2 linked regions of the Anolis sagrei genome follow. The protein of the gene in region 1 interacts with the protein of each later gene in a pairwise test. Links are inferred from orthologs where the notes say so. Each region holds a gene or a part of one and is shown on either strand. Other genes may lie near its edges.

Region 1 (7,074 bases):
GATACAGGGCTGTGTGGAAGGGCCTTGGGAGTTCAAGGATCTCATCCAGCAGTAGAAGTATTGGGAATTGTAGTTTAACAAGGTCTCCAGCATGCCGGTGTCCCACCAAACTACAACCTCCATGATTCCACAGCACAGAATCCTAGAGTTGGAAGAGACCTAATGGGCTAACCAGTGCAATCCCCTGGCAAGAAGCAGGAAAATCGCATTCAAAGCACTCCCAGTAGATGGCCATCCCGCCTCTGCTTAAAAACCTCCAGAGGAGAGTCCACTACCCTCCGAGGAATCAGCATAGTCCACTGGGGGCCTTTCCACACATCCCTACATGCCAGAATAGCAAGGCAGAAAATCCCACAATACCTGTTTTGAACTGGGTTATCTGAGAGCCCTTTCACATAACCCTATATCCCAGAATATCTGAGTGTGGACTCAGATAGCCCAATTCAAAGTAGATACCGTGGGATTTTCTGCCTTGATATTCTGGGATATAGGGCTGTGTGGAAGGGCCCTGGGAGTTCAAGGATCCCACCGAGCAGCAGAAACATTGGGAATTATAGTTTGACAAGGTCTCCAGAGCAGCGGTGCCCTGCAAAACTGCAACCCCCACAATTCTACAGCATAGAATTATAGAGTTGGAAGAGACCTTGTGGGTCATCCAGTCCAACCCCCTGCCGAGAAGCAGGAAAATCGCATTCAAAGCACCCCCGACAGATGGCCATCCAGCCTCTGTTTAATAGCCTCCAAAGAAGGAGCCTCCACCACACTTCGGGGTAGAGAGTTCCACTGCTGAACAGCTCTCACAGTTAGGAGGTTCTTCCTAATGTTCAGGTGTAATCTCCTTTCTTGTAATTTGAAACCATTGTTCCTCGTCCTAGTCTCCAGGGCAGCAGAAAACAAGCCTGCTCCCTCCTCCCTATGACTTCCCCTCATATATTTATACATGGCCATCATGTCTCCTCTCAGCCTTCTCTTCTTCAGGCTAAACATGCCCAGCACTTTAAGCTGCTCCTCATAGGACTTGTTCTCCAGACCCCTGATCATTTTAGTGGCCCTTCTCTGAACACATTCCTGGTTATCAACATCTCCCTTCAATTGCGGTGCCCAAAACTGGACACAGTATTCCAGGTGTGGTCTGACCAAGGCAGAATATAGCCCTTCCTGTAGTTTTTGCCAGTTGCTTGAGAGTTCTGGTTAATTAGAGTCCACTATAGAACTATATTGTCAGATTATTATTATTATTCCATTATGTTCTTCCCCTAAAGGAGATTTAAAGCAGCTCAAACAACACTAAAAAGAATAAAATGTAAAACCTGCAAAATATAAGCACTAGGCTGCTATGAATTTTCCAGGCTGTATCGCCATGTTCCAGAAGCATCCTCTCCTGAAGTTTCGCACTCACATCTATGGCAGGCATGCTTAGAGGCCGAGATGTCTGTTGGAAAATAGGCAAGTGAGGTTAATATATCTGTTCAGGGTGGAAGAAAGAACTCTTGTCTGCTTGAGGCAAGTGTGAATGTTGCAATTGACCACTTTGATTAGCATTGAATGGCCTTGCAGCTTCAAAGCCTGCCTGGTTGCTGCCTGGGGGAATCCTTTATAAGAACTAAATTAGAAGTAAACATGGAACTGTTAACAATGACAGTGGTGCTTTCATGCTACAATGGAGAAGCGCCCTACAGTGTAGCTGCAGTTTAGGGCCCACCCTGGTATTAAAAAAAACCCTAGAGCTGGGTTGCTGTGAGTTCTCCAGACTGTATGTACATGTTCCAGAAGCTTTCTCTCCTGACTTTTCGCCTGCATCTATGACAGGCATCCTCGGAGGTTGTGCGGTCTTTTGGAAACTAGGCAAGTGGGGTTTATATTTCTGTGAAATGTCCAGGGTGGGAGAAGGAACTCTTGTCTGCTTGAGGCAAGTGTGAATGTTGTAACTGATCACGCTGATTAGCACTGAATAGCCAGAGGACCCCCAACCTGGTCACGCAATGGGTTAAGCCCTTGTGCCAACAGGACTGAAGACAGGTTGGAGGTTTGAATCCAGGGAAAGCACGGATAAGCTCCCTTTGTCAGCTCCAGCTCCCTATGTGGAGACATGAGAGAAGCCTCCCACAAGGATAGTAAAACATCGGCAAGGATGTGTCCCCTGGGCAACATCCTTGCAGGTGGCCAATTTTCTCATACCAGAAGTGACTTGCAGTTTCTGAAGTTGCTCCTGTTATGGAAAAAAAGCACTAAATAGCCTTGCAGCTTCAAAGCTTGGCTGCTTACTGCCCGAGGGAAACCTTTGTTGGGAGGTGATTCGTTGGCCTTGACTGTTTCTTGTCTGGAATTCCTCTGTTTTTGAATGTTTCAGACAAGAAACAACAGAGCTAGTTAGCACTTCCCAACAAAGGATTCCCCCAGGCAGGAAGCAGCCATACCTTGAAACTAATCAAGGTGGCCAATTGCAACATTCACACTTGCCTCAAACAGACAAGAGTTCTTTCTCCCACCCTGGACATTCCACAGATATATAAACCCCACTTGTTTTGTTGAAGGCTTTCATGGCCAGAATCACTGGGTGGTTGTAAGTTTTTGGGCTGTATGTCCATGTTCCAGAAGCATTCTCTCCTGACCTTTCACCTGCATCTTTGGCAGGCATCCTCAGAGGTTGAACATGGCCACACAGCCTGAAAAACTTACAACAACTCAAACCCCACTTGCCTAGTTTCCAACAGACCTCACAACCTCTGAGGATGCCTGCCATAGATGTGGGTGAGATGTCAGGAGAGAATGCTTCTGGAACATGGCCATACGGCCCAGAAAACTCACTGCAACCCAATTTTTGACTCTGGAAAATGAATCAATCAGAGCCAGCTAACACCTCCCAACAAAAGATTCCCCCAGGCAGAAAGCAGCCAGACCTTGAAGCTGAAAGACTATTCCATTCACTATTCCATTCACTATTCAAAATCTGGCTACCAGTATTAAAAAAACTCTAAAATTACTACAGCAAAACAGCAGAGAGGAAACAACCAGGCACATCTCAACACTTCTCAACAGAACATTGTCCCAGGCTCTGCCAGGCCTTCAAATGCTAATGAAGGTGGTCAGCTGAAACATTCACACCTAGCTTCAGCAGAGAGTCCTTTGCCCCACCCTGGTCATTCCACAGATATATAAACCCATTTCCCTACTTCCAACAGACCTCACTACCTCTGAGGATGCTTGCCATAGATGCAGGTGAAACGTCAGGAGAAATGCCTCTAGAACATGGCCCTATAGCCCGAAAAAACCTACAAGAACCTATTCTATTCACACTTGCCTCCAACGGACAAGAGTTCTTTCTCCCACCCTGGACATTCCACAGATAGATAGATAGATAGATAGATAGATATATCTGTGGAATGTCCAGTGTGTGTGTGTGTGTGTGTGTGTGTATACACACATACATACCCTGCTTGCCTAGTTTCCCACAGACCTCACAACCTATGAGGATGCCTGCCATAGATGCAGGCGAAACGTCAGGAGAGAATGCTTCAGGAACATGCCCAGGCAGCCCAGAAAACTCTCAGAAACCCACTGATTCCGGTCATGAAAGCCTTCGACAATAAACCCTAGAGATGGAAGAGACCACCACAAGGGCCCTTGACATGAATCGAGATCCAGCTTTGAAGGGAGGTGAAGCGGTTTCGGTCCGCTTTATGGGTGTTTTTGTGCCCCCTCCCCTCTCTCGCAGGGAATCCCTCGCGCGCCTGCCACGTCACTCTCGCCAAGGAAACCCGCGCTGGCGTCGCGCGACGCAAATGCCCATCTTTGGCCAGGAGGGCCTGCGACAATGGAAGAGACCAAAGTGTCCAAGTGTGGGGGTGGCGGGAGAGAAGGATGGGGCTCTCAGTCTGGACGAGACCATGCAAGCTCCGTGTCACTTCGGGGTGGGGCAGCGAGGGAGCAAATGGACTGCGCCGCTGGGCTGAAAGAGGCAGAATGGTTGCGCCCTCTCTCTCTCTCCTTTCCCCTCCTCTTCCCTCCCTTTTCCAAAAATGGGAGGTTCCGCGTTGCGTCAGAGAAGAGGGGGGCGTGGCCTCCAAAAAGCCTCCTGGCTTGACGTTTGGCGAATCCACATGGTCTTAGAAGAGGCGAGCTTCCGAGGCAGAGCTCGGAGGAAGGATGGCAGGAGCCCCGAGAGCCCGGGCTTGAACTCACCCCTGACTCACTTCGGGAAAAGGAGGAGAGGAAGAGGAGGGAAGGGGAGAGCAAGGCAGGAAGTCGGGAGAGAGAGAGAGAGAGATCTATCTAGTGCCTATCTATCTGTCTCTATAACTCAGAAGAGCATTGTTGTCAAAACCCAACAAATAACGCGCTTCCGATGTGAGGCTAGTTGAGTCACCTCGGAGCAGGAAGCCGGCACTTTTCTCCCGCTTTAATTATACAGGAGGCGAAGATCGCCCTTGATTTAAAATACAGGAAGCAGAGCGAGAGAGAGAATAGAAGGAAGGAAGGGAGGGAGGGAAAGAAGCCTTTCAAAAAGCAACCGCATCTCCATGAATTAGTTCTAAGGGTTGGGGATAGGCTGGCATTGGGCTGTCTTTAAAGGGGAAGCACAAGGAAAGGGCTCTCCAAGGAGCCAAAGGGGAAGAGGGGGAGCCAAGGCTGAGCCTGGCCTTGGAGGGTCCGGGAAGAAGGGAAGGGAGTCGAGGCGGGGCCCGGGAAGGGGGGCGCCTCCTCGGACCATGTACCAGGACTTTCCCGGCAGCTTCGACACCTCCTCCCGGGGCAGCAGCGGGTCGCCAGGCCATCCGGACACCTATCCCGGCCTCGCCACGCAACAGGTAAGACCTTTGCCTTTCTTTTTTCTTCTTGCCTTCCTTTTCTTCTTCTTCCCTAATGTAAACTCCTTCCTTTCCTTCCTTCCTTCCTTCCTTCTTCCATCTTTCCTTCTTTCTTTCTTTCCTTCCTTCCTTCCTCCCTTCCTTCCTTCCTTCGTTCTTCAGTCTTGCTTTCCTTCCTTCCTTCTTCAGTCTTTCTTTCCTTCCTTCTTCGATCTTTCCTTCCTTCCTTCCTTTCTTTCTTCGGTCTTTCTTTCTTTCTTTCTTTCTTTACTTCCTTCTTTCCTTCCTTTTCTTTCTTTTCCTTCCTTCCTTCTTTCCTTTCATCCTTCCTTCCTTCCCTCGTCACTCTTTTCCTTCTTCCCGGTTCACTCTTGCCTTCCTTCCAACGTCACCCCTGCCTTCCTTCTATCTTCCTGTAGTTTTTGCCGGTTGCTTGAGAGTTCCAGCTGAGAGTCAACTGTAGAACTATATTGTAGATGATGATGATGATGATTATTGTATTGTCAAAGGATTTCATGGCCGGAATCACTGGGTTGTTGTGAGTTTTCCGGGCTGTATGGCCATGTTTCCAGAAGCATTCTCTCCTGACGTTTCGCCTGCATCTATGGGCGACCTCACAACCTCTGAGGATGCTTGCCATAGATGCAAGCAAAACATCTGGAGAGATTGCTTCCGGAACATGGCCCTACAGCAACTTATTATTATTATTAGTATTATTATTACATTCTTCGAGTTTCTGAGAGTTTTTTGGGCTGCCTGGCCATGTTCCTGAAGCATTCTCTCCTGACGTTTTGCCTGAATCTATAGCAGGCATCCTCAGAGGTTGTGAGGTCTGTGGGAAACTAGGCAAGTGAGGTTTATATATATCTGTGGAATGTCAAGGAGGCAAGTGTGGAATAGTCTTTCAGCTTCAAGGTCTGGCTGCCTGGGGGAATCTTTTGTTGGGAGGTGTTAGCTGGCCCTGATTGATTCATTTTCCAGAGTCAAAAATTGGGTTGCGGTGAGTTTTCCGGGCTGTATGGCCATGTTCCAGAAGCATTCTCTCCTGACATCTCACCCACATCTATGGCAGGCATCCTCAGAAGTTGTGAGGTCTGTTGGAAACTAGGAAAGTGAGGTTTATCAATCTGTGGAATGTCCAGGGTGGGAGAAAGAACTCTTGCCTGCTTGAGGCGAGTGTGAATGCTGCAATTGGCCACCTTGATTCACATTGAATAGCCTTGCAGCTTCAAATCTTGGCGGCTTCTTTCTTCCTTTTTCTTTCTTCCACCCCTCTTAAACCCTTTTCTTGCCTCTCTCCCTCTTAACTCCTTCTTTCGCCTTAACTCAATTTTTTCCTCTTCACTTCTTCCTTCCTTCCCTCTTAATTAACTCTTCCCAACTTCTTTCTTTCCTCTTAGCTAGTTTATTTGCTCTTCATTGTTGCTTTCTTTCCTTCTTAACCCCCTTTCCCCCACTTTCTTGCCTCTTAGCTTTGTTTCCAGATTCCCCCTTTAGTCCTTCCTTTTCCTCTTAACATCTTCTTCCCGCTTAACTCTTTCTTCCCTCTGCTTTCTTTCTTTCCTTCCTTCCTTTTCTTTCCTTCCTTCCCTCTGCTTTCTTTTCTTTCTTTCTTTCTTTTCTTTCTTTCTTTCTTTCTTTCTTTCTTTCTTTCTTTCCTCCCTCCCTCCCTCCTTCCCTTCCTTCCTTCCCACTTCACTTCCCTTTAGAGCAGGCATGGGCAAACTTCAGCCCTCTAGGTGTTTTGGACTTCAACTCCCACCACTCCTTTTAACACCTTCTTCCCACTTAACTCTTTCTTCCCTCTGCTTTCTTTCTTTCCTTCCTTCCTTCCTTCCTTCCTTCCTTCCTTCCTTCCTTCCCTCTGCTTTCTTTCTTTCTTTCTTTCTTTTCTTTCTTCCTTTCTTTCCTTTCCTTCCTTCCCTCTGCTTCTTTCTTTCTTTCTTTCTTTCTTTCTGTATATCCCTTCCTTCCTTCCTTCACCTTGGCTTCTTCCTTCCTTCCTTCCTTTCCTTCCTTCTCCTTGCTTTCTTTCTTCCCTTCCTTCCTTCCCTTTCCTTCCTTCTGCTATCTTTCTTTTCTTTCGTTCTTTCCTTCCTTCCTTTCCAATTCACTTCACTTCCTTTTAGAGCAGACATGGGCCAATTTGGGCCCTCCAGGTGTTTTGAACTCCAACTCCCACCATTCCTAACAGCCTCAGGCCCTCCCCCTCCCCCGCCCGCTTCAGCCGCTTAAGGGACCTGAGGCTATTAGGGATGGTGGGAGT
Region 2 (7,954 bases), on another chromosome or scaffold:
CAAGGGCAGATGTCTTCACTGTGTCTGGTTGTGATCCCCAGGTTGTGCCAGTCAGCTTTCGTATGATATTGTTTCTAGCACCCACTTTTTGCTTGATGTTCAGGCAGTGCTTCTTGTAGGTAAGAGCACGGTCCAGAGTTACTCCCAGGTATTTGGGTGGCTTCATGAGGTAAGGTCGCAACTGGCGCACGAGTTTGAGGCCCACATCATGGATACATTCAGGCTGCAGGAGAATCTTGCATATGTCTTGTAGAAGGCTTTCATGGCCAGAATCATTAGGTTGCTGTGAGTTTTCTGGGCTGTATGGCCATGTTCCAGAAGGATTCTCTCCTGAAATTTCGCCCACATCTGTGACAGGCATCCTCAGAGATTGGGAGGTCTGTTGGAAACAAGGAAGTGAGGTTTATATATCTGTGGAATGTCCAGGATAGGAGAAACAACTCTTGTCTGTTTGAGAATAAAGAGCAACACTCTAAAGGGGAATTCCAGAAAAGAATAAATTAGGGCCAGTTAACACCTCCCAACAAAGGATACCTGGGAGCAACCAGCCAGGCTTTGAAGCTGCAAAGCCATTAAATGCTAATCAAGGTGGCCAATTGTAACATTCACACATGCCTCAGAGAGAAATCAGAATCACTCCAAAATCCTGAATTGTTGATGGGTGGCTCAGACCCTTTCCACACTGCTATATAAAATCCACACAGAACTGGGTTATATGGTAGTGTGGACTCAAATAACCCAATTCAAAGCAAATACAGTGGATTATCTGCCTTGATATTATTCTGGGTTATATGGCTGTGTGGAAAGGCCAATGAATAATGACACCTTTGCTTTTTGATGGTTCAGTACCCACAAACTTTGCTTCATGAAAAGTATTGTGTAGAAAATTAAACTGAGGCTACATGTTTAAGGTGCATTTGAGACATACATGTATCTCGTGATTGGGCTTGGGTCCCAAGCATGGCATAGCTTTTTGGAAACCTATCAAATGACCTTGAGTGAGTCCCCATCTACACTGCCATGTAATCCAGTTTCTGAACCCAGATTATGTGCTTTGAACTGGATTATATGGCACTGTGGACTCAGCATGGAACTGTTATGTGGTGTTCCACAAGGTACCATTCTATCCCCAATGCTCTTTAATATTTACATGAAGCTTCTGGGAGAGATAATCTGTAGGAACAGGATAGGGTGTTATCGGTATACTGATGACACCCAAAAATATTTTTCCATGCCTTTAAAAACAGCTTTAGCTAAGAATAGCATGCCTCCCCTGAATGAATGCCTGGAGAGGTAATGGGCTGGATGAGGAAAAACAAACTGAAACTGAATCCAGCAAAACAGAGGTGCTTGCCATCAAAGATCCTGATCTGGGGGTGGGGAGGTGTCAACCAGTTCTGGATGGGGTTACACTCCCCTGAATTACTGTGTTCACAGCTCAAGAGTACTCCTGGATCTCTCTCTCCAAATGTCAGCCTAGGTAGATGCAATAGTCAGGAGTGCTCACTATCAGCTTCGGTTGAACCGCCAGCACCACCCCTTCCTAGATTTGGAGGACCTGAAGATGGTAGTGCACGCACTGGTAACCTCAAGGTTGGACTTCTGCAATGTACTTAACACTGGGTTACCCTTGTACCAAGTTTGGAAACTTCAACTGGTTCAAAATGCGGCAGCCAGGTTACGGATCATCTAGGAGTGTGCATATTACACCTATCCTAAAGTCACTCCACTGGCTGCCAATTCGTTTCCGGGCCAAGTATAAAGGTATGGTTTTGACCTTTAAAGCCCTACATGGTTTGGGTCCAGGTTACCTAAAGGATTGCCTTCTCCCATACAATCCGCCTTACACACTTTGGTCTTCTAGGGGGCGTCTGCTCCAACCAGCCAGAACCTGACTAGCGGCTGTCACTCAGGGGACCTTTTCATTGGCCGCCCCAAGATTGTGGAATGATCTGCCGGTAGAGCTCCAACAGCTAAATCTGCTTTTGGAATTTAAGGCACAAATGAAGACCTGTCTCTTCCGACAGGCCTTCCCAGACTGCCTTTAAACATAAATATGAATTTTAATGCATGCCCTTTGTTTAATTGGTATTGTGTTTTAATATGTATTTCATAGAGATACGTTTTGGTTCGTAACTGTTATGGAGGTAAGTTTTAGTGTGTGTGTATCTATAGTGTTTTGCTGTGCTTATGTATTTTAATTGTTTTGTAACCCGCCTTGAGCCATTAAGAGAGCTATGAAAAAATATTATTATTAATAATTGTAACAATTTAATTATTAATAGTCAAACAGAGGCTGGATGGCCATCTGTCAGGGGTGCTTTGAATGCAGTGTTCCTGCTTCTTGGCAGGGGGTTGGCCTGGATAGCCCACGAGATCTCCTCCAACTCAAAGATTCTATTATTCTTATTAAATAATCATATTCAAAGCAGATAATCTGGATTCCTATGGCCCTCCCACACAGCCTTATATCCCAGAATATCAAGGCAGAAAATCCCACATGATCTGAGTGTGGACTCTGATAACCCAGTTAAAAGCAGAGCCAACCTTAAGGAATGAGGCTACAAAGTGAAATCCACGACATGCGAGTGTGGAGAAGAGCAAACCACAGACCACCTGCTGCAATGCAACCTGAGCCCTGCCACATTCACAATGGAGGACCTTCTTGCAGCAACACCAGAGGCACTCCAATGGTCAAAGGACATTTAATAGAATACCAAGTCTGCAAACTTTGTGTTTTGTTTGTTTGTTTTTGATGCAATACAACTGTTTTGGTTTGTGGGATTTTTGGTTTGTTGGATTACTGTAATGCACTCTACGTGGGGCTGCCCTTGAAATCGGCCCAGAAATTTCAATTGGTACAACGGGTGGCAGCCAGGTTACTAACTGGTGCTTCTTACAGAGCAGTCAACCTTCCTGTTTAAGGAGCTCCACTGGCTGCCGTTCATTTTCCGGTCCTAATTCAAGGTGCAGGTTCTTACCTACAAAGCCCTGAACGGTTTGGGACCCACCTACCTGCGTGACTGCATTTCTGTGTACGAACCCACACGATCTCTTTGATCATCTGGAGAGCCCTGCTTGCGCTCCCACCTCCTTCGCAGGCACGATTGGTGAGGGGGAGGGCCTTCTCGGTGGTGGCCCCCCGACTCTGGAACTCATTCCCAAGGACCTCAGACATGCCCCAACTCTGGCAGTCTTTAGGAGGAGCCTGAAAACGTGGTTGTTCCAGTGTGCCTTCCCAGAATAAGGAAAACTCTCAGCAATATGCCCTCAAAATGCACTTTGCCACTGATTTAGGACTGATTGCGTTCCCTCATCTCTTTTTGAAAACCCTATCCCAGTTATATCTTACCTTGTTCATGCCCAGCATTATTTTTTAAATTTTAAATTATTACATTTGGCCCGGCCATTGGTTTTCAAATGCTTGCGTGTTACTGTTTATTGTTTATGTGATTTATATTAATTGGATTGTATTGTTTTTGTTATTGCTGTTGTTATTGATGTACTGTGGGCTTGGCCTCATGTAAGCCGCACGGAGTCCCTTGGAGAGATGGTAGCGGGGTATAAATAAAGATTATTATTATTATTATTATTATTATTATTATTATTTTCTGCCTTAATATTCTGGGATATAGGGCTGTGCAGAAGGGCCCAGAAACTGGATTATAAAGCAACTAGCTGTCCCCTGTCACGCGTTGCTGTGGCCCAGTCTGTTGATCTGGAAAATAATGAGAAAGTGCTGGTTTACAATATTTGTAATTTTTTTATGCTTGTGGGTACAGTATTTCTTGCTGTTTCTTTGTCAGTGTTGATGTGGACAGTGTCTGGTTTGCCCACCCAGGAACATGCAACATATCATTGTCCTTCTTTAAGGGTCCCTTTCAAATCTATGATACTAGATCTCTCTGTGTGTGAATCATATCTATCTATCTATCTATCTATCTATCTATCTATCTATCTATCTATATCTATGGCTGGATGGCTCTTTGTAAGGAGGACTTTGATTATGTTTTCTTGCCCTGATGAAGGGAGTTGGATTGGATAGCCTTAAGTATTTTCTGTTGGTCATGGGGTTCTGTGTGGGAAGTTTGCCTCGATTCTGTCATTTGTAGGGTTCAGAATGCTCTTTGATTGTAGGTGAACTGTGAATCCCAGTGACTACAACTATTTCCCCCAAACTCCATCTGTGTTCATATTTGGGTATATAGAGTGCTTGTGCCATGTTGGTTCAGATCCATCATCGTTTGAGTCCACAGTGCTCTCTGGATGTAGGTGAACTATAACTCCCAAATTCAAGGTCAATGCCCACCAAACCCTTTCAATATTTTCTGTTGGTCATGGGAGTCCTGTGTGCCAAGTTTGGTTCAATTCCATCGCTGGTGGGGTTCTGAATGCTCTTTGATTGTAGGTTAACTATAAATCCCAGCAATTACAACTCCCAAATGACAAAATCATAATTTTTGAGTGATGGTCACTCCTTTGGTGTGATTTCGTTCATTGGTTCTTTTGTTTTTAAGGTACTCATTATGCACAGAGAATTTATATATAGATAGATAAGATGTGGCTCCAGCATTAACCACATACAGTCTGCCCCTGAAAAACCTCTAATAAAGGGTGTCAAACTGCAATAACTTCATGGAGGCACACCACTACAAGCCATCTCCATGGGTTGTTGGATATGCAGGATCTGAGGAGGCAGGAGTGCTGCTCCCCCTCCCCAACGCAGCCACACTTTCCCCAGGGAGGCCTGGCCCTTTAACGCACAAGGTGGGGCGGGGCGTGACGTCATAAAGCCTCTCCGAAGGAAGGCCTCTCCTAACGTAGCTAGGCCTAGTCCCCCTTCAGTCGCGCTAACTGGGCCTCCAAACCGCGGAAACAGTGGGGTGGGGGAGGTAGGAGAAGCCACGAAGGTCCGTTCAAGCGAGTGTGGCGGGTGGCCAAGGTCAGGGCCCGGGCCTCGGGTTGCCAGGCCGTTGCATCACCCTCCTCGCATGACTCACCCCCTTCCAGACTCGTGACCCTGAAAGGGCGGGGAGAAAAAGGGAGGAGCTTGAGGAGAAGTCACTTCCGGGAGCGACGCGGCAGCTTCCACCTCACTCCCGCTGGGAGGAAGAAAAAAAAAAAGAGTCCAGGCGGAGGCGGGGCCAGAAGGCGACGGCGACGACGGCCATTGGATGAAAAGAAGCGGCGACGGTGATTGGTCCGGCGTGGCGCAAGAGTTGCGTCATGCGGCGCGCGCTCGAACGTCTACCCGGCCCCCGGAGCGAGAGGAGGCAGTTGGCATTTGGACGCCGGCAGAAGCGCACGGAAGGAGAGAATGAGCATCGAAGGGAGAATGAGCCAGAGCCAGCAGCAGAAGAGAGGCGGCATCACAGGCGAGAAGGAGATTCGCAGGAAGGTGCGGAGCGATGAAGGGAAAAGTCCTGGGGGCCCTGGCCTTCATGAACTCCTTCAGCTAAAGGGTGGGAAGGGCTTTTTTAGGCCTTTTATTTCTTCTCCTCTAAGAGCCCTTCCACACAGCATAATATCACAGAATACCTGCTTTGAACTGGGTCATCTGAGTCCACACTGCAACTCTAGGATTCTATTTATTTATCTGTCTGTCTCCTTCTCTGAAGGTCTTTAAGCAGGGGCTGGATGGCCATCTGTCAGGAGAGATTGAATTGTGTCTTCCTGCCTGAGTCCACACAGTTCAGAGCATAATATGGGATTTTATTCAGCTGTGTGGAAGGGGCCTGAGAGAAATAAAGGATTCCCCATGCTAAAACTGAGGGCCCTTCCACACAGCCCTCTATCCCAGAATATCAAGGCGGAAAATCCCACAATATCTTCTTTGAACTGGGTTATCTGAGTCCACATTGCCATATATTCCAGTTCAGAGCATAATGTGGGATTTTATTCAGCTGTGTGGAAGGGGCCTGAGAGAAATTCGTAAATAAAGGCGGTAATCAGGATTCAAACTGAGGGAAGGCTTTTGGGTGCATTCACACTGTAGCATTACTACTAATATATCATCATCATTATTGATATATAAACCAAATAATATAAATACTTTAATATATATTAATATAAATCATAACATATAAATAATATAAATGATGACATATAGGTTGGTAAAGGTTTTCCCCTGACATGCAGTCCGGTCGCGTCCGACTCTGGGATGTAGTGCTCATCTCCATTTCTAAGCCAAGGAGCCGGCATTGTCCATAGACACCTCCAAGGTCATGTGGCCGGCATAACTGCATGGAACACCGTTACTTTCCCGATGGAGCAATACCTATTGATCTCACATTTGCATGTTTTCGAACTGCTAGGTTGGCAGAAGCTGGGGCTGACAGCAGAAGCTCACACAGCTCCCAGGATTCGAGCCTGTGACCTTTCGGTCAACAAGCTCAGCACTTTAACCCACTGTGGCACCAGGGGCTCCTAAATAAATAATAATAATAAATATGACATATAAATAATAAGTACATAAATCACTATTAATAATATTGTGATATATTAATAATAAATCTACACTGTGAATGCACCCAAAGGCCCTCCAGGCCTGCCAGCCATTTGAATCCTGATATTATATTATATATATTACTAGCCATCCCCTGCCACGCGTTGCTGTGGCCCAGTCTGTTTGTATATATGTGGTTTTGCGCATGCGTTGTAATTTATTTTTTATTTTTGGCTTTTTAAGTCTCTTCCGCTGTGTTTTTCAATGTTTTTATGAGTGATGGTCACTTGTTGGCCTGATACTTGTATTGTGTTCAAATTTGGTGTCAATTCGCCCAGTGGCTTTTGAGTTAGGTTAATCCCACAGACAATTATGCTGGGGAAAATGGAAGGAAAAAGGAAGAGGGGCCAACCAAGGGCAAGATGGATGGATGACATCCTTGAAGTGACTGGATTGACCTTGAAGGAGCTGGGGGTGGGCTGGTCCATGAGGTCACAAAGAGTCGGAAACGACTGAACAAATGAACAACAAAATCCCACATTACATTTTTATTTATATAGATACAGTGTTATACATTATAATAAATTACAAATACCATTATTAATAATATATTCTAAGTACATTATATATAAGATAAATATATTATATTATTATAATTAATAATACTAAATGTTATCCACCTCTGTTATTTAATGTTATAATGTGTTATATATAACAAATAACATTATTATTAATAATATATTTATTGTATAATAAATAATATACATATTATACATAATAAAATTAATATATTTAATTATTATATATAATTAAATGTTGTTTGTTACCCGGCTCTCTTCACGGATTGATGCAGGGCACAAGATACATTGATGAAACAATTGTAAAAAAAAGTGCTAAAAATCATAGAGCAAAGATTAAAACACCAATGCTGATAAAATGTACAATTATAAGTTGGATAGTAATACAGCTCAACACTACTTTTAACTGTTATGGAATCAAGGCAGTTGTAGTTTGCCGAGGAACTGAGGCTATTTGGCAGAGAAGGTTAAAGTCCTTGTAAAACTACAGCTCTTATCTTTCCATAACACTGAGCCATGGCAATTAAAGAGGTATCAAATGGCAGTAGATGAATATATTCTGAGGACCCACATGAAACTGTGGGTCCTTTAGTTGCTTCAAGAGGGAATAGATAGGGCACAGCTTGGTTCTGTGGTTTGTAAAGACTCGGTGTTTCCTGCTCAGCTTTGCAGAGAAGAAGACCCTGCTAAGAGATCTAGGTGCACCTGTTCTGTAGAATTAATGCATCTTAACACCACTATAACTGCCATAGTTCAAGGTTATGAAATCCTGGGAGTAGGGGACACCAGTACTCTTTAACAAAGAAGTTGAAAGACCTTGGAAAATTGAAGCTCCCATGATTCTGTTGCCATTATACAACGGTGTCTGACTGCTTTATTTACACCTTCTATTGTGCTAAAGTAGCTGGCTCTGATGGTACACATCTTTTCC

Evidence for each region. The genes of interacting proteins can lie anywhere in the genome.
Region 2: the proteins of FOSL2 (region 1) and DDIT3 interact in binary tests that used the Homo sapiens proteins (3 or more experiments, as listed by UniProt). The two-hybrid records come from large-scale screens. The link is inferred for Anolis sagrei from reciprocal best matches to the Homo sapiens genes FOSL2 and DDIT3.

The regions. Positions count from the first base shown.
Region 1 is NC_090021.1:43,099,409-43,106,482, reverse strand, and holds the start of FOSL2 (fos-related antigen 2), read left to right. Parts: upstream 1-4,069; 5' UTR 4,070-4,709; coding exon 4,710-4,808; intron 4,809-7,074.
Region 2 is NC_090022.1:185,996,857-186,004,810, reverse strand, and holds the start of DDIT3 (DNA damage-inducible transcript 3 protein), read left to right. Parts: upstream 1-4,948; 5' UTR 4,949-5,462; intron 5,463-7,954. UniProt on the Homo sapiens protein: Multifunctional transcription factor in endoplasmic reticulum (ER) stress response. Plays an essential role in the response to a wide variety of cell stresses and induces cell cycle arrest and apoptosis in response to ER stress.